Linked DNA regions of Coturnix japonica. The main gene of each other region encodes a partner of the protein of the gene in region 4 in a complex. Links are inferred from orthologs where the notes say so. Each region holds a gene or a part of one and is shown on either strand. Other genes may lie near its edges.

Region 1 (2,849 bases), on a different chromosome or scaffold from region 4:
AATCAGGTGTTCAACTGCCTTTAGTGATTTTGAAACTCTTCCAGTACCATCATCAAACATGATAAAATTAGTTGCAATTAATTTTGATTGTTTTTTGTGTTTTCCAGTGAAAGCTGTTTGTCATCCCTTTGTTCATGACATGCATATGAATATTTCCGGACTATTTAACATCACATACTGTGTCCAGGGTTTCATTCTGAAACTATTTAAGCTCTCATAGTACCCCACAGTATTTAAGTAGAAGTTGTTTACCTCCTGTTGCAAATACGTTAGAATAGCTGCTAAAACGAAACTTTGGGAAGCCAGATCCACAATGGAGAAAAACAGGATATCGAAGATGAGCAGCGTCGTCTCATTGCCGTAATACAGAACTTCACTGAAAGAGTGTCCTTCATCTACAGAGAGACAGTGGTTTTGAACGTAATGAAACATGCTTAAACCCTACCTAGAAGGAGCTTCAGAGATTAACATGATCTTTGTTCACTTAGCAATCAATTTCCCCACGAATGGGTCTTTTAAGCTTAAAACACCATTTTCCATAACCAAATTATTCATCCCTGATTACAGAGCGAAGTTTGTGATTCAAAGGAGGGATTCAGATTTTGCAGCCTTGGTGTTGGAAAGGAGACAGCAGAAAACGTTCTGCTCTGCTCAATAATGTAACCTGGGGATTGGTATTATACAAGGATGGCATATTTAGGATGTGTAATGGTCATTCTGTTAATATCAGTGGATTAGATTATGGCTCTGATAAGGTTCCAAGTTTCTAAACAGTGAGACTGGAGAGTCAAGCATTTAAGGGGCTCAAAATGAGGCCCCATCATTGGTTGCTAGTCAATACTTAGTGATGGCCGTATCTATGGATAGGGGCAGAGTAAAAGTCTGAACTAAGTTCAACAATGTCTCCAAAAATGGGTGGTATAATATAATCAATTATTTCACTACAACATCCTCACTGTGACCAATATCCTCTTTAGAGGAATTGTCTTTCTGCTCTTTTAGTTGCTTCACAGGAAATTTAGTTCTCTACAAAAACATAGTGCTGAACTATTTAAATACTGTGGATCTCATTCCATTTAAAAAGTGGATATCAGATCTGGATAGCAAGTCGAGGGAACACTTCATAAACAACTGCACATCTGTACACAGTATCCTCTCAAGACGCCTATGGGAAAAAAGAACATTGCAATTAAGCGACAGATTGTAAGTGGGATTTCTCTAACCTAGAGAGCCTCTTAGATACTTCCCTCACAATCATTTTAAGGCCGCTCTTGCTGTAAAGCCCAGTTTAGGTTGGAAATCCTGGGAGTAAATCTACACTGAAACACATATACTTATAAAAATACCAATCTGAAGTCACACATCCTTTTACCATTGTAGAAAATACTTTTCTCGATCGGTTCCATGAACTCCATGCCTAGAATCCGCTCAAGCAGCAACTTATCTTTGACAATATAATCCATTTCTTTATGAACCTGTAAGAAAAGCAAAGATGCAACTACCGTTTTATCATCTCAAAGAAAACGGACTCTTTCCAAAGTGGAGTACAGCCACTCAGACCTCTACGAATGAAGAAAGCATTGGTCTACCCCAAGATAAAAATAAACATGTAACAAAAGAGGATTTGTCTTGTTGAAGAGCGGGGCTGCGCTGTTGCACAGTACTCCAGTTTTTTATCTGAATGAAGCACTGTTTCAGTTCCTATGAAATCTTGAACAACAAGTCCTTATGGGCATACGCTTAAATAGAAACTACAGGCCTGCAGATTTACAATGTTTAGTCTGTACTTACTGTAGTTTTCCTTAATGTATTAATATCAATATACATACGTGATCAATAAAAGAACCCAGGAATCTGTTCATGGTGTTGTACGCCCTCGTGCTTTGTTCAAAAGTATTTGCAGATGAGTCCAAAAACCTAGCAGGGCCACGTCTCTGAAACACAACACGGCCGTGGCTTTAGTGGAAGAGTACGTTATTTTAAATACTATGCACAGAACCAAAATGTCTCACTTACTCTTGTCAGGGTTTCATGAATTCTGTCATACTGCAGTCTCATTTTTCTTGAAATGGAAATCTGAAATGTCTGGCCGTCTGTGTTTGGTAGCAAACCTCTCTGACTGCACAGGTTTTCCTACAAATTAAAGTAACTGTAAATTAACATCATTCATGTCATACATAGGCCAAAAAACAAACAGTCAAGGCTTCTAATTTATTCTCTTTCATGTGGAATCATAGAACAGCTCAGGCTGGAAAAAACCTTAAAGATCGTGGAGTCCAACTGTGACCCAACCGTAGTACCCTAACTAACAACCCTCTGCTAAATCATGTCCCTGAGCACCACATCCAAATGGTTTTTATACACATCCAGAGATGGTGACTCAACCCCCTCCCTGGGGAGCCTATTGCAGTGCTTAACAATCCTTCCTGTGAAGTGTTTCCTGACATCCTGATATGTACATACAGTACTCAATACCTCCGAATCTTTGAATTCACTGCACTCTTGAGGCTATTACTGCAAGATTTTTTTAGGACATGAAATCCTGACCCCTGCTGTCACAAAGTCATATTCATCTTCTTGCCTGCGTTCTACCCATTACCTTCTAAAACATCTTTTAAAGTTCATTCTGCCTTTATTCAAGCCTTTAAAATATGTATATATTTATTAATTAATTTAAGAAAATCATTAGAGTAGGTGTAAAACTTTACTACTTTTACTTACTGCTTCTCTCTTTAGGTTCATATTCATTTCCTCCATGTTGGTGTCTGCATGTCCATGAACTGAGCGGCCATGGATGTAATAACCAAAGCAGCTGTGTGACAAGATTAACACCGAAATCTAAAAGAAGT
Region 2 (3,482 bases), on a different chromosome or scaffold from region 4:
ACTCAGCCCTGTGTGATATTTTTCTTCCTATCACTGTGGGTCTGCAGGTAGCCCCAGTCCTGTGAACGTGAGACAGGAACAAAAATAGGGGAATAAAAAAGGCTGAGAAAAGAAGAAGAAAGTGAGTAAAAACTGTGTAAACATATGCTTCCCCAGGAAGCAATGCAGTGTATTGCTGAGCTCAAGCAATGAGTTGCAGCTCAGATGAAGAGCTTAACAGTTCAAAGTTCAGCTGCTGTGCAAATGTCACAATCTGTTCTCATCTGCAACATCCAGCCCAGCTCTTCTATGAACTAAAGAGAAGATGTATTTTCAGTTGTATTCCCAAAGTCCTTCTGCTCATCCTTGCAGTCAGAAGAGCCAGAAATTCCACAGATAAAAAGAAATACAGAACAGAACCCTCTTCTCCAGTCTGGCCTCTGTCACACATAATTTCCTTGCTTTGGTTTCCATGCGATGAAGACCCCTCCCTTTCTCTAGGAATGAATCAGTTTTAAATCTCAGGTGGTCAGATTCATTTTACTGAAAACTGACCTAAAGCTTCAAATGCTGATGGTAACTATCAGTAAGTTCACTACTCAGTTAATTAAATCTCAAACAACATTCATGCCCTGACCTTCAACATAACCCTCTTCTTTAAGAAGAAAAGTAAATCTATCAAGTCAAGTAGACTTGAAAATTTTCTCATTGCCTACAATTCAATATTCAAAAAGCTCACGTGTCTCATGTCAGTATTTTAGTCAGCTCAGCAGAAACATGAACAACTGGCTCTAACATCAAGGCCTGGTAACAAAATGCCTTCAAACAGCGCACCTGTGGAAACGATTCTCAGTATGGATGTGCTATAGAGAGACATAGGGCAGCATCTCTGCCCCTGTCTGCAAAGGAAGGGCCTCAAAGAGCTTCAGGGCACTGGGAGCTTCTGTCAGAGAGATGTGGGCTGCCCCCAGGCCAGAGGCAGTGAGGCTGTCGGTCTGTCAGTCTGTCAGTCAGGGTTCTTCCACACACTGGAGGCAGAAGTGCTGATGAGGTCCTGGGGAAGGCTCTCACGGGCCTCCTGCATCCGCCGCCGAGCCCGATGGAAAGCCTCTGCAACACAGCAGGTGACAGCAAGTCAGAACACATCAGACAGCCGCAGGGAACGGGAAGGACAAGTCTGTCCAGTGCACATCACCTCTCAGAACAGGGGTCTCACTAAGTACCACCTGACTGCTGCTGCTCTTTGCTCTGCGCATAATGGATCAGAGACTGACTCTGCACACCGCAGCCACAAGTTATGTTCAGTGCAAGACTGGGCAGCCCAGCCCAGGCTTTGCCCTCATGGACCGAGTATCCCTTCTGACTGCTCAGGGCTGATGCCTCCTCAAATTTCCAGCAATGTCAGGTCAGAACATTTAACTTCTGTTTTAACTCAGAGAGAGCTCACAGTGGGGGATAATTCCACTTCAAGCAATGGATTCTCCTGAAATACCCTGACCAACCTGTAAACAGGAGGTAAAAGTGAGACAAAGGTCCTCCTCGAAGAAGGAGACTGAAGGTCCTACCCAGAACATTGTAGACAGAGCTCTGCTGGCTGAGGCCTCCAAGCCGGTCCAGAACGCTCTGCATGCGATGCCTCAGGGCATTAGTTTCCAGAAAGGCTCTGCACAGAAGTACAGCTCGAGGTCAGGGCTGGAAGAACACAGCACACAACACAGAGCTTGTGCTCACTTTGCTGCACTCACTTGGATTGCTGCAGGCAGTAAAGCCGGAACGTGACATTCCCTGTTGTCTTTGTGCGAAAACCAAAGCGGCTCAGATGCTTTCCCTGCAAAAACAGCACAAGTTAGAGTACCTACAGCCTCTAACCTATTACAGCAGGCTGACCCCAACGAGTGTGCCCCACCAGGACAAGCACTCCCGCAGGCACAGAATCACTCCTTGCACTGCTTCAAACAGAAACTGACGTCAGAGAGACAAGCAGACAGTTCCAGGCTGTGCTGAGGGCAGGACCTGACCACTGGGAAGATACAGTGCTGGGGGAAGGGTTCCATCTTGAGCCCTTTGTTCAGTCTGGGTGCCACAATAGGAGAAAAACATCAGCTTATTAAACAGATTCCAAAGGACAGCAACAAAGATGGTGAGAGGTCTTCTCTAAGAGGCTTGTTGGGCCTCCCAGGGGAGCCACTGGAACATCAAAGCAGCTGAAGTTAGAGAAGTGTTTGGACACAGAACATGCACTTTAGCTGTGGGTAGTCCTGTGTAGAGCAGGGAGCTGGAACTGATAATCCTTTGGGCTCCTTCAAACTTGGGATAATTTATGATTCTTTGATTCTAAGAGCATAATCCACCATTTCCCAGCAAGAGCAACATCCCACAGCTAAGCCTACCTTGAAGGTTGTTGGTATCCTGGCATAGGTCACGTCCTCCAGCTCAGGAGACCCACCGATGAAAAATCTCCTCATCTCAGCAACTGTACCCAGCTCTACAGGGCGCCAGGTCGGGATGGTGAGCACGTGGAGACCTGAGCCAAGACAACAGAACAGTTCAGCAGTACTGTCCGACAGTCATAGAGGACATCATGGTGGACGGATACCTACTGATGAATACCCACTGATTCCCAGGTTTTTCCAATGAGCCCCAGCCACACAGCCAGCACTGACACCATCCCCTTTACTATGTGATGATGTTAGACTAGTTGTGAGCCTGGGATTACATACACAACAGAAAGGGCCTACTGCTATTGTAAAGATGGACATGCAGAGCTTTATCACATACAGTTCTCCAGCAGAACCACTGGAAGAACAAGTACAGCAAAACACAATGCTTCTCATCATGGCAGAAGGTGCAGACACATCACATCACTCTGCTGCTTCACAGACAGCAAACTATTCATTTCAAAATGACACGGTGAAGCCTCCCAGAATTAGGTGCAGCTGTTCCAAAGAGAACCACTCAACTCCTATTTCCCTACACACTTAACATACTGCCCCAAAGATGTTTGGTTTTTTACCTGGAGATGTTGGCAGCACAACAGAACCATAACCTTCGACACGATACCTCTGCCAGAAATCCAGGGACAGAACCTCGAAGTAGAGAACGGGCCAATGCAGGAGGCATTCTGCAAGGAAAGGGAGCAGATCAGTTTTTTGAATGGTGAAGAGGGAGACCAACACAGAGAGAAAAACTTCCTCAACACTTCAATCCCACTAGCAAGGAGTCCTTTCTCTGCTTCTCCCAAAATGACAAACCTATTTCTATGTGGGGTATGCATGACTATTTTTCTGTGTAAAAGATGAAGCATCAGACTTGAGGATGAAAACACAGGGCTAAAAAGTTAAAGAACTGAAAAAACCTTTGTTTTGGTGAGTCTCTGAGAATCGTCAAAGTGATTCCTCAGTTGTCTTTGGGCAGTTGTGACAATCTGCAAACAACTGACGCAGCACAGAGGAGCCTTTTTATCTCTGATCTTTCTCATCACTGTTGGGGACTATTAACTTAGA
Region 3 (3,500 bases), on a different chromosome or scaffold from region 4:
TCTAGGTTTGGAGCCTCTTCAAAACTGGCTTCTTGATAAACTTCTAGGTGTAATTCTAAATGTTCATCTCCTTAAGATAAAAAGGTAATTTGCACTGTGTATTCCTCTGTCTCTGCTACCACTGTGCCTTAAGTCATATTCTACCAAGGATAATCTGGATTGTAAACTCATTGTCCATTATGTCATATATGTAGAGCAATAATAAAACAGATTTCATCTTGACTGCACCTTATGTTGCATATTGTTATTGTTTTATTGTGAAATGTACTCTTATCCTGAAGGCTGTGTTTCTCTTGTGATACTAGCTTTGAAAATGCCGCAATATATGGAAATGGCAAGGCCTCTATCATGTCTGTAAGTTGTGAATCAGAAATTATTTGATGCACACATGTTTTCTACTAAATGAAAGAGGGAAAAGGAAATGTCATACCTACCCCATGAACTACATTGATGCATAGTTCACCTGAAATCATAGGGTTCCTGAGATCATGGCTGGTGCTAAGTAAAGTGTGCCTTCCGTTCAGAGACTGGACAACTACAGACCGGACAGTAATATTAACCTGAAAAATAATTCATGTCATTTCCAAATATTATGTATACTTATTTTTGGCTTCTTCTGTATCATATGTGTGACTCTTCAGAAGTTCTGTTGTGCTGGACAGCAGACAATAGTCCTTTAAGCAAGAGTATTGATGAAGTTAAACTGAAACAGCAAATAAAATCAGCTAATAGTTTTATGTTGGGGCACTATATCAGATTAAAGTTGTCTGCAGATAGCGTATTATCTTGGTGGTGGCATGTAATCTTGGTGTTGCTAATACCATTACTGAATAAAAACCACAGCATTTTTCTCCTAAGGCACGTGTAGGGGATTTTTGCTTTACTTTTTGTTCTAAAGAGTAAGGCTAAAGTCACTGTTCTGATGAAGTCAGTGAAAAACTCCCACTGACTATAATAGGGTAAGAAGTCTACCCCCACCAGTTCTGAGTTTGAAAGATACTTACCATCTGACTTGACTTAGGTACCTAGAGGAGAATAAAAGAGCAATTTCAAACAATAGCAAAGGGATGAATTATTACAAGTAGCAGTTAAGTAAAGCAGTTAAGGTTTAATTGCTTTGCCTGTTCAACTCCCTATCATTACAGTGAATTCAGAATAGTGGAAGTCATTGGATGCACGCTGCTGTATCTAGGTAGTTTGAAAATAACTGCTATTTGTGGCTAGTATGCAAAATCTTACAGCTCAATGCTCTTCTTCCCCTGGCAGCAACTGGAAAGTTTCTTAGTGACTACCAGCAGTTTTCCACCAGACTGAGCTTTGACTGCACTCCTAACAAACATTTAAGGCATTCGATAAGTACAAGATAAATCTAGTATTTCCCTCTGACACTGTTTGCAACTCAGAACTAACACTGAAAAAGATTGTTTGCATGAGAAAGGAGAAAAGCATTACTAGTGCTGTGTATCATTTGTTTAATGATGGGGTTTTCTTCAAGGAACTGTTGTGTGGGTCCACTCACCAAAGGCTCCCGGCCTCCCTGGGCAGATGATTTTGACATTTCTTTTGCCAGTGGCTCCACCTGCTGGCACTGAAAGCGTTCCCTGCTCTGCCTTCTGACCATCCCCAAAACAAAATAATTCTTTTATTTTCACGCCCCATCTTCACAAGGAGAACTGCCTACAGACCAGCTTTCCTGACCATTTGGCCCCCTCTAATATTCCTCAACCTTTGAACAAGGGGATGCTGTATAAATATGAACCTCCTGTTCAAAAAGGAATGAAAAATTAACCTTAGCTCTGAAAAACAGCCACATACCAGATTTGATAGTAAGCTGGATATGAGCAAGATTGCTCTCAGAGGGGTAAAAGGTCACATTCCTTGAGGAGTATAATGAAGATTATTGCACACGTGTGCAATAATTCTATATTAACACCACTATTAAAAACTGAAGAGGATCCAACCTTACAGATTCTTTAAGTACAAGATTTACATGCACAAGCACATAAAGTTGCTGTTATTGCACAGTTAGCACAGTGCCACAAGCTTCTATCTTCTAGACCGTTATTTCTGCTGGCTAAGCAGACAAGAGTAAATGCTCCTGTTACTTCAGTGTGAAGTAAAAACACTTCTAAAAGCTTTATATAGAAAAGACTGCTGGATTTTTCCTAACCCATGGTTTAAATATCAAAAGGAAACATTATATCCTGTAGGCAATAGCAATTAATTATGGAAATACAAAGCAATATGTAATATGGGCAGGCAGCTACATGATGCTTTCAGATCATACTTACTGCTAAAATGCTGGAGTTGATATAAAATAGCATACTAACTGCTTGAACGTTGCCACAGTTTTCCACACTGATTGATCGAATGCATTTTGTAGCCTGGTGTACTAAGAACCCTGGAAGAGAGTCACAAAGTATTGCTGAAGGAAATTAAAGAGTAATTATGAAAAACACAAATGAAAAACTGCAGAAGAACAACTTTAACAATAACGATGGGTCTTGCAACCTTCTTTTTTACTGTTTTTCTCCCTTACAGATTTTCAAGAAACTGTGACAGCTCAAAATGTAGGGTTCAAGTCTGCAAGTCTGACCCCAGTTGCATTCAAACTGTGAAAGAAACCTCATTCTGTTAAAGAAAGATGTCTTAAAGAGGTTGCCCAGTTAGGTCATGCTTATGCAACACCTTCTACCCTCACAGCGTCACCCTTGTACTATTTTACTATGTCAATTAAATCAATTATTAAGTCAGTGGTGTTTTACCATTGCATAAACAAAACACTAAAAAGAGATGCCAACCAAGGGTTCCCATACCTAACTCTGAATATCTAACATAGCTGCAATACAGCTTCCACCCTATGTCTAAAAAAACCTCCAGAGACTCAGAAGATATCCATAAAACATTTGTTCACAGATCTTTATCTGAATTTACATTGGTGTGATCGCTTACTCACTGATTAAGCTCAAGTTAGAACAGAATTCTACTGGAATTCAAATACATTTTCCAACCTGCAGGGTTTGCATCAGAGCACCAAGAGGAGACAACAGGACTAGGCAGCCTGAGAAATGCATCCACCGTCTGTATAGGAACACCATACTGCCAAACAAAATGACATATTCAAATATATAGGTGTATTTCAGTTCGTGGAAAGTTTTAGAGCATTTGCATAAACAGTAAATCTGTATAACAGAAGTTATTTTTTCCATTACATCTGTCAACACCACATACCACATTGCACGTCAATTCTTAAGCCACCGCTAACAGCTTTCCTTGTTCAGAACAGCTGGTTACTTTTCTCGGATCTTAAAATCCTAGTTCACTTTTGAAGAAAGCTCATACAACACTACATGTTTCTTTTTGCATTTCTATGTTTAAAGACCAAAACAAAGATTTTCCTTTTACAGTACTGCAATTTTTTACAAGCAAATGCAAACTTGCTCTTTTATGAAGCAATTTAATATTACTTGAATCATACTCTCATGTACCTCATATCTGTA
Region 4 (3,500 bases):
CTTTTGAGATGTGTACACCTTCTATTACACTATTACCTTCTGAGGTACACTGTGTATTGCAATAATGGATACAATGATTAGGAATACACTCCATAACTACAACATCTAAGTTCCAGAATCTTTCATCAACTTGAAATTATTACAATTTTACTAAAAAGGAGTCATGTATTATACAATGAAACATTATATTGTTTCACTTTTAAAATAACAAACCAATGTTGTATAATCTCTGTACATGCACAACTGCTCCCTGGAAGCTCTAAGTTCGTTCATCACAGACTCATATCACTTTTGCAACCTGCTCTGTTGTTTTTGTTTGTTTGTTTTTCTTTTTTTTTTCTGATTGTATCAGATTTTTTTCTTTCCTCATTTTGATGACAAAAACTCATTTACAGAAAGGGTTGTTAAGCACTGCAATAAGCTCCCCAGGGAGGTGGCTGAGTCACCATCCCTGAATGTGTTTAAAAACCATTTGGATTTGGTGCTCAGGGACATGATTTAGCAGAGGGTTTTTAGAGTTTGGGTACTATGGTTAGGTTGTGGTTGGACTCAATGATCTTTAAGGTCTTTTCCAACCTGAGTGATTCTATGATTTCATATTTTTTTACAGATTTTCTTGAAATGCCTCTCACCTCATGTGAGCAACTTCATTTTCTAAACTGAGATTCTGTTTCCTTAGCTCTTCCAGTTCTTTTTCAGTCTCTGAGGTTCTTACTCCAACAACATGGTCAACAGTAACACCAGTATTTTTCAGTTTCTTCTGAAGAGCAATTTTCTCTTTTTCTGTCCTGCAAGATGCAGTAAAAATTGCAGCTAAGCCTTTATTTGTATTTTCTGGCTTGTTTTGTTAAGGTGAAAATATTTTCAATCTGAAATAATTCTTAAAATTTATTTTCTCACTGTACAGCAACAGCTTTACAGAAATAATAGCGAGCATGAAGTTAGCAGCATGCTAGTCACAAGTTATTTGTTGTTCTTGTCTGTGTTTTATATTAAATTCCTGAGAGATTTATTCTGATCTCAGACAAATGCCATTTTGAAGCTATTAAAATCCACAATATAACAACAGTTACAACTACCATCATTACTTGGAGGTCATCACCAACCATCATTGCTGCAATCCTCCCAATACTGTACTGAAGTAAACTTAACATACAAATGTGGTTGGCTTATTTGCTATGTTTTGTTTAAAAAAAGCTTCGGTCTCATCATGCTAGAACTGGCAGTACTGCAGCAGCATAATACAACAGTGGCACACCATCCAATTCTAACAGTCTGATTCAGTAACACTGAGGTGAGATTAAGTCCATCTCGCTGAAACTTACTTGTTTCAGAACAGAACACCATATAAAGGAAACATAAGAAGGCACATAAATTAGTTTTATTCAGAGACAGTTTATTCTACAGGTGTAGAAGAAAAGAAACTTTGTGTTTTTTCCTTCAAGTGAGAGATAGTAAAGGAGTGGCCTGCTGCCTGAAAATTAAATAATTATTTTAATCTCAATAGCAATATCAAATATAGGCATCAATCTTGTAATGAGCTGTTATGAATTTGTGGCAAAAGTATTTGGATTTCTCTTATGCCATCACTTTGTAGCACAATGCATTAAAAACCACTCACCTGGAATAAAGTTCCTTCAATGTAGCGAACTGTTTGGCTAAAGTATCGGTTTCCTTTTCCTTTTCTTTAAGTTTGTTTCTCATCCCTTCCATTTTGATTTGCCATTTTTTACCTTCTTCCCATCTAACTATTTCCTCTTTCGAGGCCTGTGAAGAACATACACAAATTATATATTTCTTTTCAAACTGTTTTCTGAAAGAAAACAAACACATTGGAAAAACAATCACAGAGTATTTTACAATTTTAAATTTGAAACATCAAACCATAATTAGGTAAAAATCAGTGCAAGCTGGATACTCTAAACTTGCTGCAGTAACTGGCATAAAAGGATGATGCAATTTAATGTTCTAATATCAAATACATCTTCACATTTTAATGTTTACTTAAAAAAAAAAAAAAAAAAAGGGACAGTTTTTAAAAACATTAGATGTGCTTGTGAAATATATCCCTGTAATATAAATTACAGGTTTGTAAAGAAGATAAAGAAGGGCTTTTCTATGCCAATTTACCGGATATCTATCCTTTTTCTTGCAGCTTACCAGGAGGTTTTACGTTCCTCCTGCAAAGCTGCTCATTTGTACTTTCTTACAGTTAAAATTAAGCAATTATAAAATATGCCTGTATGTATATGATCACAAAAAATCACCCTGTAAACAACCCTTTTGTTCTATCACTGGACTTTTCCCTTTCTTCATTTCACCCCTGTACTTTCTGCCCTGTCTTCATTCTAAATTTACAGTTACTAAAAGACAGACAGAAAGTAAAGTCTTGCAAAAAGGAAAGATAAAAAAAGTTTGTGAAAAATGTCTTTAAACACTGAACAGTAAGTATATAAAAAACCTCAAACTAAGTGGAAACATAACTTTAGTACTGAATTCATAATTAATATAAAAGAATATGAACAATTACTGTGACAAGCCAGTAATTAGTTAACAAAATGGAAAAACAAACAATTGTAAAATGAATTTTACAATTTGCAACACCAGAGGCCCTGGGTTCGAATCCCCCCTGTGGCGCAAGTGGTAGAAGTGCCGCTCTGCTACACAGGAGGCACGAATCCTGAGGGCTGGACTCGATCTCTAAAGTCCTTTCCAACCCACACGAGACTGTGATACTGTGATACTGTGTGAACACATCTCCAGAACTTCCGGAAAGTGGAGACTGCTTTTGTGAAGAAAAAACACTTACAGACACATCACTGCTTCACACTTTTTGCTCCTCAAGTACTTCAAATTTTTATCAATGCATTGATTTTGTAAACGAGCATTTAACTTCACTTACTTAATCAGTTTCGCCGCTACTGATAAAATCTTAGTTTTCTACAACCTGTGGACTTTTAATTCTACAAAAAGGACAGGAAAACATTAAAATACAAGCACCTAGTACTAAGCAACAAGCAGTAACTAAGACCAGGGAAGGCAAAGAAGTGACGGACACGAAACTGCTTTTGATTTGATCAAGTCTGTCTGGTTCACAGTTATTTTAAGAGGCAGTGGAAAGAGCTAAACTGCCTACATTTAGGATGACATCTTTCAAAGCCACAATATTTGTATTTATCACACACCTTGTCTTCTTTTATACTTTTTTTTTCTGTTTCTTCACACTTCTTCTCAAGTTCATTTTCCAGTTTCTTAACTTTCTTCTGAAGCTCATCTATCAGATTTTGCTCACCAGCTCTGTTCTGTAAAATTACAAATTTTCAACATAAAGTTTAATTACCACTACCTAAGTATTTTTCTCCCTTCCAAAAATAAGGACTTCAATTCCAATTAGGAGAATTAGCTTACAACTTAAATGGTCCTTTAAAAATTATCTTTACTTCAACAATTTAACTCTGCATTCTAAACTGAACTCAGTATTAGTTAGTTGAATTCAGAAA
Region 5 (4,064 bases), on a different chromosome or scaffold from region 4:
ACAACCATACCATTCCAAATTAAGAAAGAGTCCTTTTTAAAAGCAAGGACATATTTCAGCTTTTACAGATCAGGTGACAATTCACCAATGTTCAGAAACAGGAAAAGTACAGTAGATAGCAGGAAAGCAAAATAACTTATCTGTCTTACGTGTAACAGAGGCTAAATATACACATGCACATGTTAAGTGAAAACCTGAATGATACTCTGAAGAATAAACTTCAGAGAACTCTTCAGAACACAGTGACAACATTACAGTTGCCCTAACTCAGAACTAGCAATTAGTAAGAAGAACAAAAGATCAGATAGTTCTCACAACAACAGTCTGAATACCCATGATTGCATGCATTTAGGAAGAGTGTAAGGATCAATCCTTCAGTCCTTCTGGGCAGCTTGGTCTAGCAGTTGGCAACCCTACACATAGCAGGGGGGCTGAAACTAGATGATCACTGTGATCCTTTTCAACCCAGGCAATCCTATGATTCTATGATTCAAGAGAGGATAAAATGACACAAGAACTATATAGATGGTTACAACTCTCTCTGATGACAGAATAACTCACCCTGGTTTCCACTTCACGTTTAATGAGAAAAGGTGTTGAAGAGCAGCGCCAAAGGAGCAAAGGTAAGAAGAGAGTTAGTTTTTAATCAACTCACAACAGTGACATTCTCTCTACTTTTTCATTTCATTATTCCCCTTATTTCCATTCCCACGTTTATTTACTGGCAACTGTACACAAAAGGGTTAAGTGTACAAAGCAATCATCCAGACTCAACACTGTCCGTGACTGTGCAGTTTCTTGATTGGCCAGCTATAGATCAGATTAAAAGCGATAATCACCTGGTTAATTAAAACTTGCCTGACATGTAACAAACTAACAGAAGTTATGAAACATTACAACATACACATTACTAAAAATACACCTTTATATGTTGCCAATCATGAACATCACATTTGCCCTAAGGTACTTTGAAGGAATTCTGACATATCATGCCATAAAAATCCGTAGAATTGCTTTTCCTTCCACACTGCTCATTAAAATGCTGGAAAAAAGAAAAAAGCCCAGATTTCTCTGGATGCAGTCGGACTCGATGATCTATAAGGTCTTTCCCAGCCTAAGCAATTCTATGATTCCATATTATGTCAAACTGATAAACACCTGTGTCTCCATTTGATAACACCTAGCTTGATTTCAAAAATCCCTGTCCTGAAGGATTTGTGATTTAAACGTACCAAAGAATGTAGCAAAACAACAGCAACAAAGAGTTAAGGAAGAAGAAAGTGAAAAGAGAAACATCAGTAAAACTGATACAGATGCTAATAAAACTGAAGTTGATGTTTGTCTAAGACTTTAAAAGGTTTAATCTTCCTGAATATTAAAAGTGAGGTAAACTTCAATTAAAAATGAGTCAATTTCTCAGCCTCTAAAAACGTTAAATGCTTTATAATTCTTGTGAGGGATTCTAGAACAACAAAGCAGCAAGAAAAGCAAATGTTTAAAAAGCTACTGTGACTGTGCAGATACTCAAACTCATTTTCTTTCATTTCATTTCCTTTAAAAACACAGCAGTAGAGAACCACAATCAATCCTGTGGAACGAACTGATCTTACCTTGGCACTGGGGGGAGGGCACGTGGAGGGCGCTGAAACATAACGGAGAGACAGAAGTCAGCTTCTGACAGTGCAAAATCATCCCGAGGTCTGTTAAACCACTCCACAGAGAACAGCTGCTTTCAGAGGCAATAATAACTCACACTATCTATGTTATGCTTCTGAAACCAGGTTCTCATACACAACCAAATACATAAAGAGTAAGAAACACATATCTCCTATTGTCAATCTGAAATGCAGTTCTTGCACTGGATGATTTTGTATTATATAATAATACATAAGAAGTATAGCATTAAACATTTCCTACATTACAAGAACTCAGTTGATACCAACAACACAAAAGCCTGCCTGACCAGTAAAGCTCAAGGGCCCCCAACTTACCACTTGTTTTTTCCCCATATCATTGGAAGCAGTTCCCTGGAAGAGGCACTGTGAACAGTTCTCCACTCCTGACGTCGCTCACGCTGAACCTCTGCTAATTCTGAACTAAAAATAAGCTTCTGGCTGCCCGGATTAGCTGGCTGTAAACCTCCCTGCCCCTGGGCCAGTGCCCAGCACTATTCCTGCTAGAATCAATGGTGGTTTGCTCTGGCAGCAAAGCTTGTCCTAAATGGCACCTGCCCCAAACCCCATTGCTCTATGTGCTGGTAAAGGTTCAGGTGAGCTCTGCTCGGGGATTTTCACCTGCTAAGTGAGACTCGCCGCACGAGGAAGCTTAAAGCGAAGTTTAGCTCGGGGCTCATTATTGCCTTCATCATCGTTTGAGCGATAACTATCGTTAATTATCTAGGATATGGCAGAGATCTCCAGCCCTCAGCTGCAGCTGCCCATGGCCCGGAGGAGCACACCGCAGGCCACAGCAAGGGGGCGGCTGCACGAGATGGCCATTTGGAGACTCCATCCCCCGGTGCCGTTCGGTGAGCAGGGCCACGGGAACCCTCCGACGAGACACACCCACGGCCGCCCCAGCGGCACAACGGGGGCCGGCTCTTCAAACTCGAAGCCCCCCACCCACCGCCGCACCGAACCGCCGCCAACGCCCACAGCGCGGCCTAGGCCGGGGAAGGCTTTAGGCCCGGCCCCCCCCCCGCCCTTCTGGGAGCCCCGCCGCCCTCACCCGCTCGGGTCCCGCCCGCGGCTCCGCCATGCCGCCCCCGCCGCCGTCCCGAGCCCCGCAGGGAGGAGCCGCCGCTCGCTTCCGCCCCGCCCCGCCGCTACGGCCGCGCTCCTCGGCGGCACAGCCGGTATCCTCAGTGCGGCGACGGGGAAAGCGAGGCCTTGAACAGACCGGGATTCCGGCTTCGTTCGCCTCGTTATGAGTGACACTATTTGCAAATGAAGTGACAAGCTCTAAGTTAAAAGAAAATCAAACTGCAAAGGGAACGAACACCCGATGCTGTGCTTTTCTGGCAGCTGCTTTTCAATGTACATCCCGCTGCTGCGAGGGGCAAAGTACCAGCTCATGCACCAGCCCGGCTCCCGCTGCTTGTACTCACCCCATTCCAGGGCCATGCAGGGCTCTGCTTTCCAGTGTGTTTCCTGCCAAGGACCCCGCTCTGACTTCACTATAAGCTGGCACAGTGCTAGCTGCAAGAGCAGGCTTACTACATGAATAACTTCTTTATAGGCAGCGCAACCTCCTCCAGTAGATTTTCTCCAGGAGGAACCAGGCCGACAGGATAAGTTGTTTCCTCTGAGTCCAATAAACCTGTAATGTGAGATGAAGAGAGTGAGGAATTTGTTAGCCATAGTCACTGTACTCTTTGGTGAAGAGAACGTGCTGCCTTGACTCAAACCAATAAGAAAAGGGGCTTTGGATATGATTTTCCTCTATAATAAATCCATATTTTGTCAGTTTTCAGTCACTTGAGTTGATGGAATAAAAGCCAAGCCCTGCTAAAATACTGTGGCAGCCCAAGTGACCTCAGGTGTGCACCCACTGCTCACAACAACCACATATCGGTGTGCAATCAGCACTGCCTGGGCTGGTGTGGGACATGGAGGATGCAGTGCAGCACTAACTCAACTTAAAAACAAAACCAAAAAAACAACCAAACAAACAAAAAAACCAAACAAAGAATCATGAATGTTTTGGTATGTTTATGACTGCATTTTCAGTTGACACAAATGTATAACCTGTGAATTTCCAACAGCTGCAATCAGGCATTCACTCCAAAGAATAGTTTGGTCATCATATCTCTTTACCAGGCTTTTTTAAGCCCTCTCTTACCACATGCTGAGCTTCACAAAAACAAGAACACATCCCATTGGTTTGAGGTTTTCGTTACTCTTTAAAAAAAAAATAAAAATGTTTTAATAAAAACACTGGAACATTTGATTTCTTATACAGTAACTGTACTGCATATGTTATGAAGGCTGCTCTGAAAGTAACACCTGCTATTTCATTGTGCTGGCCCACAATGTCAGAAGCAGATGGTGGTGGTATGGCAGTGG
Region 6 (3,500 bases), on a different chromosome or scaffold from region 4:
ATCACCTTCAAGAGCACCAACCCGGCCGGCTGTGGGTGCTGGGGCGTGGGGGGCGGTTTGTGTGTGAGGGGCCTGACTCATAGCCGTGTCTTTTGCAGGGCCGCAGATCGTAGTGAGTGTCTACGGACCTGATTTCTTTGGCAGTGATGTGGTCAGAGGTTATGGAGCCGTTCACATCCCCTTCACACCGGGAAGGTGAGGTGACAACCCTGAAATACGGGTTAGTTTCCAAGGTACCGAATAATTCCAGAGGCAAAAGCAGCCCTGGATCTGCTTATTGTGTCCTGTTTGTTTGCAGAAGGGACACAGCATTTCTAGCAGTCGTCCCATGTTATCCAGTAACTTTCGGCGATCCTTTAGGATTTTGGTACTCTTTAAAGCCAGAACTGCCCAAAGTCAGCCCACAAATGCAGTGGGTTTGCTCTCTCTCAAGAGCAATGTGTTTGCTCTACCCCCATTACTCTCAGCACTAAGCTTTCATCCTCTCCCCTGGAAACTGACTCAGTTATGCTCTTCTTTATGCAAGCAAACACTTCTCATAGAAGTATTTCTATGTTCAGTGCTCTGATGGGTCTGAATTGTTTCAGGCACAAAAGAACCATTGCAATGTTTGTTCCGGAGTCCACGTCCAAGCTGCAGAAGTTTACAAGGTAATAATTGAAGGCTGCTTAGTTTTAAAGATGTTCTTGCTGTTATTCACAAACGTCTGCCCAGCTGCTCACTGATGAGTCTGTGTAGATTCCTTCCATCACAACCAGTTTGGAGCTCCGTAAGTAAAGTCACATTTTCAGTTGTCTGAGTTTACTGAAGCGTTTACTTAAACTCAATGCCTGTCTCATTTGTTGGGTTTTCATCCTCTCAATTTAAAATGGTTGCTTTGAAAAACAAAGCCCAGCAGTACCTGAATTATTTTACTGGCTGTCTCCAATTGTTTCTTTTCTCTTCAAGTTGGTTCACGGGGAGACGTCCAGAATTTACTGACCCGAAAGTGGTGGCACGAGGAGAAGGAAGAGAAGGTAATTCTGCAGGAGCTCCTGCTGTAACCTTCGCATGACAACAGGCCACAGCTTGGCCATCTGCTTCTCCTCTTAGAAAAGCAGTCCTGCCCTGTTACTGAATTCAACAATGAGTCAAAATTTGCTCTGAACCAATGTTATTCACGTCTTCTTTCTCCTAGTAACGAGGGTCAGATCTCAAGGCTTTGTCACCATTTCCTTCAACATCGTGACTAAAGATATGAAGAAGCTGGGCTATGATGTGAGCCCAAGCGACATGCAGAACCCCTCTCTGGTGCCAGATACAGAAAGGATTCGTAAGTATTGAGCTCAGAACTGAGATGGTCAAAGGTACACGCAGAAATTAAGCACCAGGGATTGCTGGGGTTTCTCCTTCACATGGACAATGAGTATCTGACTCAACTGAGAACATTTTACCTGAGACCTTCATTCTAAAGACTTTGGAGTAATTACCTGGAATATGATTCTTTCAGAAGGATACAGGTTGAAAACTCATATTAATTAATGCTGTCAGATCTGTTTTTTATGCATAATATCAGACTATCAAAAAAGAAGACCTGCAAGGTATTTTTGTAACAGCCTTTTTTACACTCTTTTTATACTTCGGGAATAGGAAGGTTTGTGGTTGTGCTAATTTTCCTTTGTTTAAAACGTCAGTGCAATCCCAGTTCTTTTTATTAATAATGTTGTGGTAGAAGTGGGAAATTATTGAAGTTATTTAATCTTCCAAAACAGGAGGCAGGATGGAAATGTTCCAGTGAGACACACAGGCCTTTCTCTGTGCCACACACTTCTCTCTGCATCTTCATAATCCCACCTAGTGCTCAGTTTGTGCATCTAAATGAAATAGTTTGTGCACTGCAGAAAGAAACCCTTCATGGTTTTCATGGAGCAACCTGGGCTTTTGTACTTAAGAACAAGGTGATGCCTCTCATTTCCAGCTTCTATTTCTTCATCAAGTTGCAGGAGGGGGGGAAAAGGGACAGCAGCTTATTTTAGAAGTGTTAGAGAGATTGTGCTGTTAAATTCATGCCTGCTGATAATCATTCAGATCACACACTGTTGTGACAGTATGGATTCAATGAAGAGAGAACAAGAGTGTGAGGAAGCTGTTTACACAGATAATGTTCACATTTGTTGTAACTAGGTTTTCCCACTGCATAACCAATAGTGGGCATAATTGACTCAGCCATGAGAATATGCTATTGAAGTTAGTTTATTTATTTGATATGAATGAGGATCTGTTTCTGTAGGTAATTCTGTAGTGCCAATATCAGTAAAGTGTTATAATGGATGTATCTCGTGTCTTGTTAGTAACGCCTGAATGCGAGTTGATGTAAAAGCGCACCACGGCTGTGATAGTTCAAGCAGGGACAGACCCAATGTGACTAGTGTGTAGTGCAATACCCCTGAGTGACTGGAGGGTGAACCAGGATCTTACCCTTCCTCAGATCCTCATATTTAAGGTTGTTAGCAGAGGAGTTAGCGTATCTTACTAGAGATGCCGCCTACCTGAGCCTTTCGATGAGTTGATATAGCATGTGGTTTTTTCTAGTGTTTCGCATCCTTTGCTGCTGTATTGGTTTGTTTTTGTTTGCTGTAGTCAAAGCTTTGCTGCTTGGATGTTTTTGCTGTACTTTCTTCATTCTATGATCTGCTTATTCGGTTTCTGAACTCAAGCATTGTTGGTGAACAGGCAGATGCATGTTTAGGATGGATTACCTAAGAACAGTGGCGCATTGGGTGGTCACTGGAGCCACTAATAGAGCAAAAAGAGGAAATACAAGGGGAAACTCCAGGTCCGGGTCCATGCCTCAGTGCTCATGGATATTGGGAATGGGCCTCAAAGGGACAATGGTGACATTATTAAGTCCCGTTCAAAAATGTGACTTTCTGAATAAACTGGAATAAAATTTTTTGACTTAGGGAAGAGCAGTAGCAGCATCTGCTATAGCATGATCACTGCTACTATTAATGCAGATCAATCCTCTGAGAAGAATAGAGAAGAGAAATAGCTCTTTAAAGGCTGTACTAGGCAAGTGGAGAATAAAATTATGTCTTTGACGGAGCAAACTGCTTCACTTTCAAGTAGAACTTCCCCTCTGAAATTAAGGCCCATCATGCATTTGAGAGTCCAGACCTGGTTAAGATTTCAGCAGGAATGAGGGACCTCATACTACAACAAGCCCCTCCCAACCAGTAAGGCTTACGTCTCTGAGGGCAGAATAGGCCGGACTGGTTGACAAAGCAAGTGGGCTAATGCAGGCCTATCCAGAACCAAAACTGAACCAGATGTATACAATCAAGGCGCTCACCAAGTTGATGGATGTCTACAGGATGCCTCAAGTCAGTTAGTGTGACTAAGAGACTCATTTTATTGGCAGAATGGTACAACGCTGGGCAGAAGACAGCAATGCTGAATGGCGATTCCACCTGCACTGTAATCTGATGGGGCTTCTTAAGGCTGTGCTGAAGACAGACTCT
Region 7 (3,805 bases), on a different chromosome or scaffold from region 4:
CTCTTCCACAAGTTCAAGGGCACCATCCTTCTGTCGGCAGCGTACCTGGCACTCAGCATCTCCTTCCACATCTGGATCATGGTAGGTTTGAGGCTGCTGGCTTCGCAGCTCCTTTCTCCCTTCTGTCCCTCTGTGCTGTGGGAGGAAGGCCATAATCTCCTACTTGTAGCTATCGGGCTGCCTCATCCCAGCCCCCAGCCTCAGCACTGCAACCTGCTTGAAAACCCACACAGAAAACCTTGCACAGAAACCCACCACAGCAGAGTGGTCCCCAGTGAAGGCCATGACAGCAGATCCTGCTTTGTTTACCTGGGATTAATCCCCAGCAATCACCAGCGCTCAGAGGCTGGAGTGCTGAAACCCTGCTGAAAAACAAGTCCCAAGGGTCCCTGCTGTGTCCAAGCAGCTTTGTACCCCCTCTTCCCCATCTCAGCTCCCCCCATCCTGTGCCACAGTCACCATTTGACAAGCAAAGCAGCCAGCAGGTGCTTCCTGTATGCTTTTCAACAGGAGAAAGGCCCATCCTGCTGCCCCTGGGCCAGGTCTGTGACTGAAGCTGACCCAGGGATGTTGTACCCACAGCGTCTGGGCAGGAGATTGATGGGGATTTGCAGGGATCTAAAGTCTGAAGCTAGAATAGGTCCTGACTCGCTGGCCAAATCCCCTGAGCTGCTTAATCTTTGGAGCTGCCACCAAGAGCACGACAGCCCTTGTGGGGCCAGCTCCGTCCCATCGGGATCATCAGTGATCCCATGGGTTCAGTGAAGCCCATGGGTTCTTCCTTGTTTCCGTCTGTGTCAGAACCTGCGCTGGAGGGATTCCAGCCGCTTCATCTGGACCGAAGGCCTGCAGACACTGTTTGTTTTCCAGCGGCTGGGTAAGGGCTCGTGCTTACTGAGGCAGCAGGAACCTGCCTGGGGGACACCCCAGCTTAGTCCCTGTGCCCTCATCTCCCTCCCTCCTGCAGCGGCCGTGCTCTACTGCTACTTCTACAAGAGGACTGCAGTGCACCTGGGTGACCCGCTCTTCTACCAGGACTCGCTCTGGCTACGCAAGGAGTTTGCTCACTTCCGTGGTTGATGGCCCCCACTGCAGGAGGGGCAGCTCCTCATAGCCAGGGGATGGAAGGTCTCAGCCCCCCCAGCTCCAGCCCAGCTGTGTTCCTCCTCTTCCTGGTGGTGCCCTGGGAGCTGGCAGGGTGCTCACAGCTCACAGCCCCTGGTGGGATTGGGGCGTTTTTGTGAGTAGTGAGGAAATAAATTGTCTGTATTTTCCAGTCCGTGTGTGCTGGCTCTCTCCTCTTTTATCACGCAGCTTCTCGGTGTCCCACTACTCAGGGCTGTTCCCATTGGGTTGCCCCCCCCGGGGGTCCGCAGGCACAGCGAGGGGCGGAATGGGGGATTCGAACCCGCGGCTCGGTCCTCCAGGGCCATAGAGAGGGCGGGATAGAGCGGCCGAGCGCTTTCCCTCCTGCAGCCGCGGTTCCCATGGAGATGGAAGATGGCGGCGCGGAGTGAGTGCGGGGCCGGGAGCGGGGGGCGGCGGGGCCGGGGGCGGAACGTGAGGCGGGCGGCGGGGCCTCGCCCATCCCATCCCATCCCATCCCGCGACCCCCACAGGCCGCCAGCGCTCCTCGGCTCCGCTGCAGGTCCTGCTCTTCCTCAACGGCTGGTACAGCGCGACCTACTTCGTTCTGGAGGCCTTCATCTTCGCCTACAAGGGTGAGCCCCCGCCCTCCCGCTCCTCCGCCCCCCGCCCCCAGCGCTGAGCGTGGCCGTGCCCGCAGTGCTGCTGCTGCCGTACCCGCTCACCAACCTGCTGCTGGACGTGCTGCTGCTGCTGCTCTACCTCAGCATTGAGGCCACGCGCATCTTCTTTGGTGAGGCCTTGTCCCTCTATCCCGCACCCCGTTTCCCGGTGTCACACTGTGTGGTGCAGCCTTGCACTGCTCACCCTGTGCCCCGCAGGTTCCAAGGGCAACCTGTGCCAGCGCAAGGGGCCTCTGGCCGTCTGCCTGGCCCTGACTGTGCCAGCAGCCATCATGGCGATCTACTGCCTGCTGCTGCAGACCTATGCCCTGCGCCTGGAGGCCATCCTCAGTGCCATCCTCCTGCTCTTCTACTCTATGGAGCTGCTGCTGGGCGGCCTGGCGCTCGCCTCCTTCTCTAGGTAGGTGGCGTGGGAGCAGAGGGAGCTCTGGGGGTTCTCCTGTCCAACCCCCTGCTAAAGAAGGTTTGCTAGAGGGCATTACAAAGGAGAGCACCCGGGTGGCCCCACCACCTCTCTGGGCAAGCTCCTTCCAGTGCTCTATTACCCTCAAAGTCAAGAAGTTTTTCCTTGTGTTTCCTATTGTTGGTTCCCTACTGCCCCTTCTTGTTACTACCACCAGGCACCTCTAAAAAGAGCGTGCCCCCACCCTCTTGACCCCTACACTTCAGATCAGATCCCCTCTCAGCCTTGTCTTCTCCAGGCAGAACAGGCTCAGAGCTGTCAGCCTTTCCTTGTAAGGGAAGTGCTCCAAGCTTCAACCATCTCTGCAGCACTCCAGCAGGTTCCTATTTACCCAGAGCCAAGGAAACCAGAACTGGTCCCAGCGCTCCAGATGTGGCAGAGCAGAGAATAAGGAGAACCTCTGTTGCCCTGCTGGCCACACTCTGCACAATGCACCCCATGGTCCTGTTGGGCTTCTTGGCTGTAAGAACACTGCTAGCATATGGACAACCATTGGTCAACCAGGACACCTGTTGGCATTCTTGGCCACAAAGGCTGGTTCATGGCCAACCCATAATCCACCAGGACACCCAAATCCTCTGCAGATCCCCTTTCTGTCAGCTCAGCCCTTAACCTGCACTGATGTATGCAGTTACTCCTCCCCAGGTGTAGGACGCTGCGCCTTGTTGAACCTCATCAAGTTCATCCCCCACCCAAATCTCAGCCTGCCCAGGTCTCACTGAGAAGCAGCACAGCCTTCTGCTGGTTGAGCCTCTCCTCACACATCCTCTCCTCTGTTCTTTGCAGCATGGATGCATACTGAGGCCCTGCACCAGAGGACCACAGCAGCGCAGGTACACGAGATGGCAGCAAGCAGGTGGCACAGGCTCCATCTCCAGCCTGTGGTGGTGAGCCAGACCCACACTGGCACCTGTGGGCAGTGCCAGGGCTGTGCCTGGGTAGCACCCACCCTGCTGCCACCCAGCCCCGAGGTTTGTGACACACAGGTCAGTCCAAGGTACAGACAATTTGTTTTTTTTACAGCGTTGTAAGAAGAAATCACTATTTTCCAATAAATAGTTATTTTTATCTGGTGCCTGGGCACGTGGCATCCCCCCAGGCCAGAGCACCTCATTACCACAGCCAGCCCCTGAGCCAGCATGGGAGGCACAGCAGCCCTTAGGAAGAGCTGGAAGATTGGGGGTGGGGGGGCGTTACAGAAGTGCTTGGCTCTTGCTGCCCATCCACACCTTCATCCCCTGAACATCCCCACCAGAATCTCTTGAAAAGCTCCATATAAAAGACTGACAACGTCATCAAGTTTATTACACAACTTCCAACCTATCAGAAAGACAAACAAACCTAAGTCACTGCGGGCAGAGGGGGGCAGCGCCTCGCCGGGTGCTTAATAGAGGTTCCTCTCTGCACTTTTCCCCCCCACACTAATTGGAAAGAAACTATAAATTTGTGTTGTTACGTAAAAAAAAAAGCCAACAAAAACAGAACTCACCCACCAAATGCTTCCCCCCAGTGCTCACCTGATGGTACTTGATGGAATTCATTGTGTGATTGTAGCCTAACAAAGACCTGTGGA

The links.
Region 1: CEP290 (region 4) and TMEM67 share a complex: the UniProt entries of both Homo sapiens proteins name them as parts of the tectonic-like complex. The link is inferred for Coturnix japonica from reciprocal best matches to the Homo sapiens genes CEP290 and TMEM67.
Region 2: CEP290 (region 4) and MKS1 share a complex: the UniProt entries of both Homo sapiens proteins name them as parts of the tectonic-like complex. The link is inferred for Coturnix japonica from reciprocal best matches to the Homo sapiens genes CEP290 and MKS1.
Region 3: CEP290 (region 4) and TCTN1 share a complex: the UniProt entries of both Homo sapiens proteins name them as parts of the tectonic-like complex. The link is inferred for Coturnix japonica from reciprocal best matches to the Homo sapiens genes CEP290 and TCTN1.
Region 5: CEP290 (region 4) and TMEM237 share a complex: the UniProt entries of both Homo sapiens proteins name them as parts of the tectonic-like complex. The link is inferred for Coturnix japonica from reciprocal best matches to the Homo sapiens genes CEP290 and TMEM237.
Region 6: CEP290 (region 4) and B9D1 share a complex: the UniProt entries of both Homo sapiens proteins name them as parts of the tectonic-like complex. The link is inferred for Coturnix japonica from reciprocal best matches to the Homo sapiens genes CEP290 and B9D1.
Region 7: CEP290 (region 4) and TMEM216 share a complex: the UniProt entries of both Homo sapiens proteins name them as parts of the tectonic-like complex. The link is inferred for Coturnix japonica from reciprocal best matches to the Homo sapiens genes CEP290 and TMEM216.

The regions. Positions count from the first base shown.
Region 1 is NC_029517.1:114,040,523-114,043,371, reverse strand, and holds part of TMEM67 (meckelin), read right to left. Parts: intron 2,839-2,849; coding exon 2,722-2,838; intron 2,134-2,721; coding exon 2,017-2,133; intron 1,935-2,016; coding exon 1,830-1,934; intron 1,476-1,829; coding exon 1,373-1,475; intron 396-1,372; coding exon 253-395; intron 1-252. UniProt on the Homo sapiens protein: Required for ciliary structure and function. Part of the tectonic-like complex which is required for tissue-specific ciliogenesis and may regulate ciliary membrane composition.
Region 2 is NC_029534.1:112,298-115,779, forward strand, and holds the end of MKS1 (Meckel syndrome type 1 protein), read right to left. Parts: intron 3,101-3,482; coding exon 2,993-3,100; intron 2,504-2,992; coding exon 2,370-2,503; intron 1,808-2,369; coding exon 1,725-1,807; intron 1,643-1,724; coding exon 1,545-1,642; intron 1,090-1,544; coding exon 986-1,089; 3' UTR 501-985; downstream 1-500. UniProt on the Homo sapiens protein: Component of the tectonic-like complex, a complex localized at the transition zone of primary cilia and acting as a barrier that prevents diffusion of transmembrane proteins between the cilia and plasma membranes.
Region 3 is NC_029530.1:5,164,353-5,167,852, reverse strand, and holds part of TCTN1 (tectonic-1), read right to left. Parts: coding exon 3,489-3,500; intron 3,100-3,488; coding exon 3,012-3,099; intron 2,402-3,011; coding exon 2,292-2,401; intron 1,026-2,291; coding exon 1,005-1,025; intron 561-1,004; coding exon 435-560; intron 1-434. UniProt on the Homo sapiens protein: Component of the tectonic-like complex, a complex localized at the transition zone of primary cilia and acting as a barrier that prevents diffusion of transmembrane proteins between the cilia and plasma membranes.
Region 4 is NC_029516.1:38,934,392-38,937,891, forward strand, and holds part of CEP290 (centrosomal protein of 290 kDa), read right to left. Parts: intron 3,303-3,500; coding exon 3,186-3,302; intron 1,768-3,185; coding exon 1,622-1,767; intron 789-1,621; coding exon 633-788; intron 1-632. UniProt on the Homo sapiens protein: Involved in early and late steps in cilia formation. Its association with CCP110 is required for inhibition of primary cilia formation by CCP110.
Region 5 is NC_029522.1:9,998,900-10,002,963, forward strand, and holds the start of TMEM237 (transmembrane protein 237), read right to left. Parts: upstream 2,801-4,064; 5' UTR 2,758-2,800; coding exon 2,728-2,757; intron 2,660-2,727; exon of another isoform or gene 2,010-2,659; coding exon of another isoform or gene 1,992-2,009; intron 1,643-1,991; coding exon 1,611-1,642; intron 573-1,610; coding exon 562-572; intron 1-561. UniProt on the Homo sapiens protein: Component of the transition zone in primary cilia. Required for ciliogenesis.
Region 6 is NC_029529.1:5,245,975-5,249,474, reverse strand, and holds part of B9D1 (B9 domain-containing protein 1), read left to right. Parts: coding exon 1-31; intron 32-98; coding exon 99-195; intron 196-587; coding exon 588-650; intron 651-948; coding exon 949-1,016; intron 1,017-1,177; coding exon 1,178-1,312; intron 1,313-1,751; coding exon of another isoform or gene 1,752-1,777; exon of another isoform or gene 1,778-1,928; intron 1,929-3,400; coding exon of another isoform or gene 3,401-3,465; exon of another isoform or gene 3,466-3,500. UniProt on the Homo sapiens protein: Component of the tectonic-like complex, a complex localized at the transition zone of primary cilia and acting as a barrier that prevents diffusion of transmembrane proteins between the cilia and plasma membranes.
Region 7 is NC_029520.1:292,690-296,494, forward strand, and holds TMEM216 (transmembrane protein 216), read left to right. Parts: upstream 1-1,387; 5' UTR 1,388-1,500; coding exon 1,501-1,513; intron 1,514-1,619; coding exon 1,620-1,721; intron 1,722-1,786; coding exon 1,787-1,879; intron 1,880-1,967; coding exon 1,968-2,169; intron 2,170-3,018; coding exon 3,019-3,034; 3' UTR 3,035-3,305; downstream 3,306-3,805. Other genes in the region: TMEM138 (transmembrane protein 138), read left to right, coding at 1-81, 802-877, 968-1,080. UniProt on the Homo sapiens protein: Part of the tectonic-like complex which is required for tissue-specific ciliogenesis and may regulate ciliary membrane composition.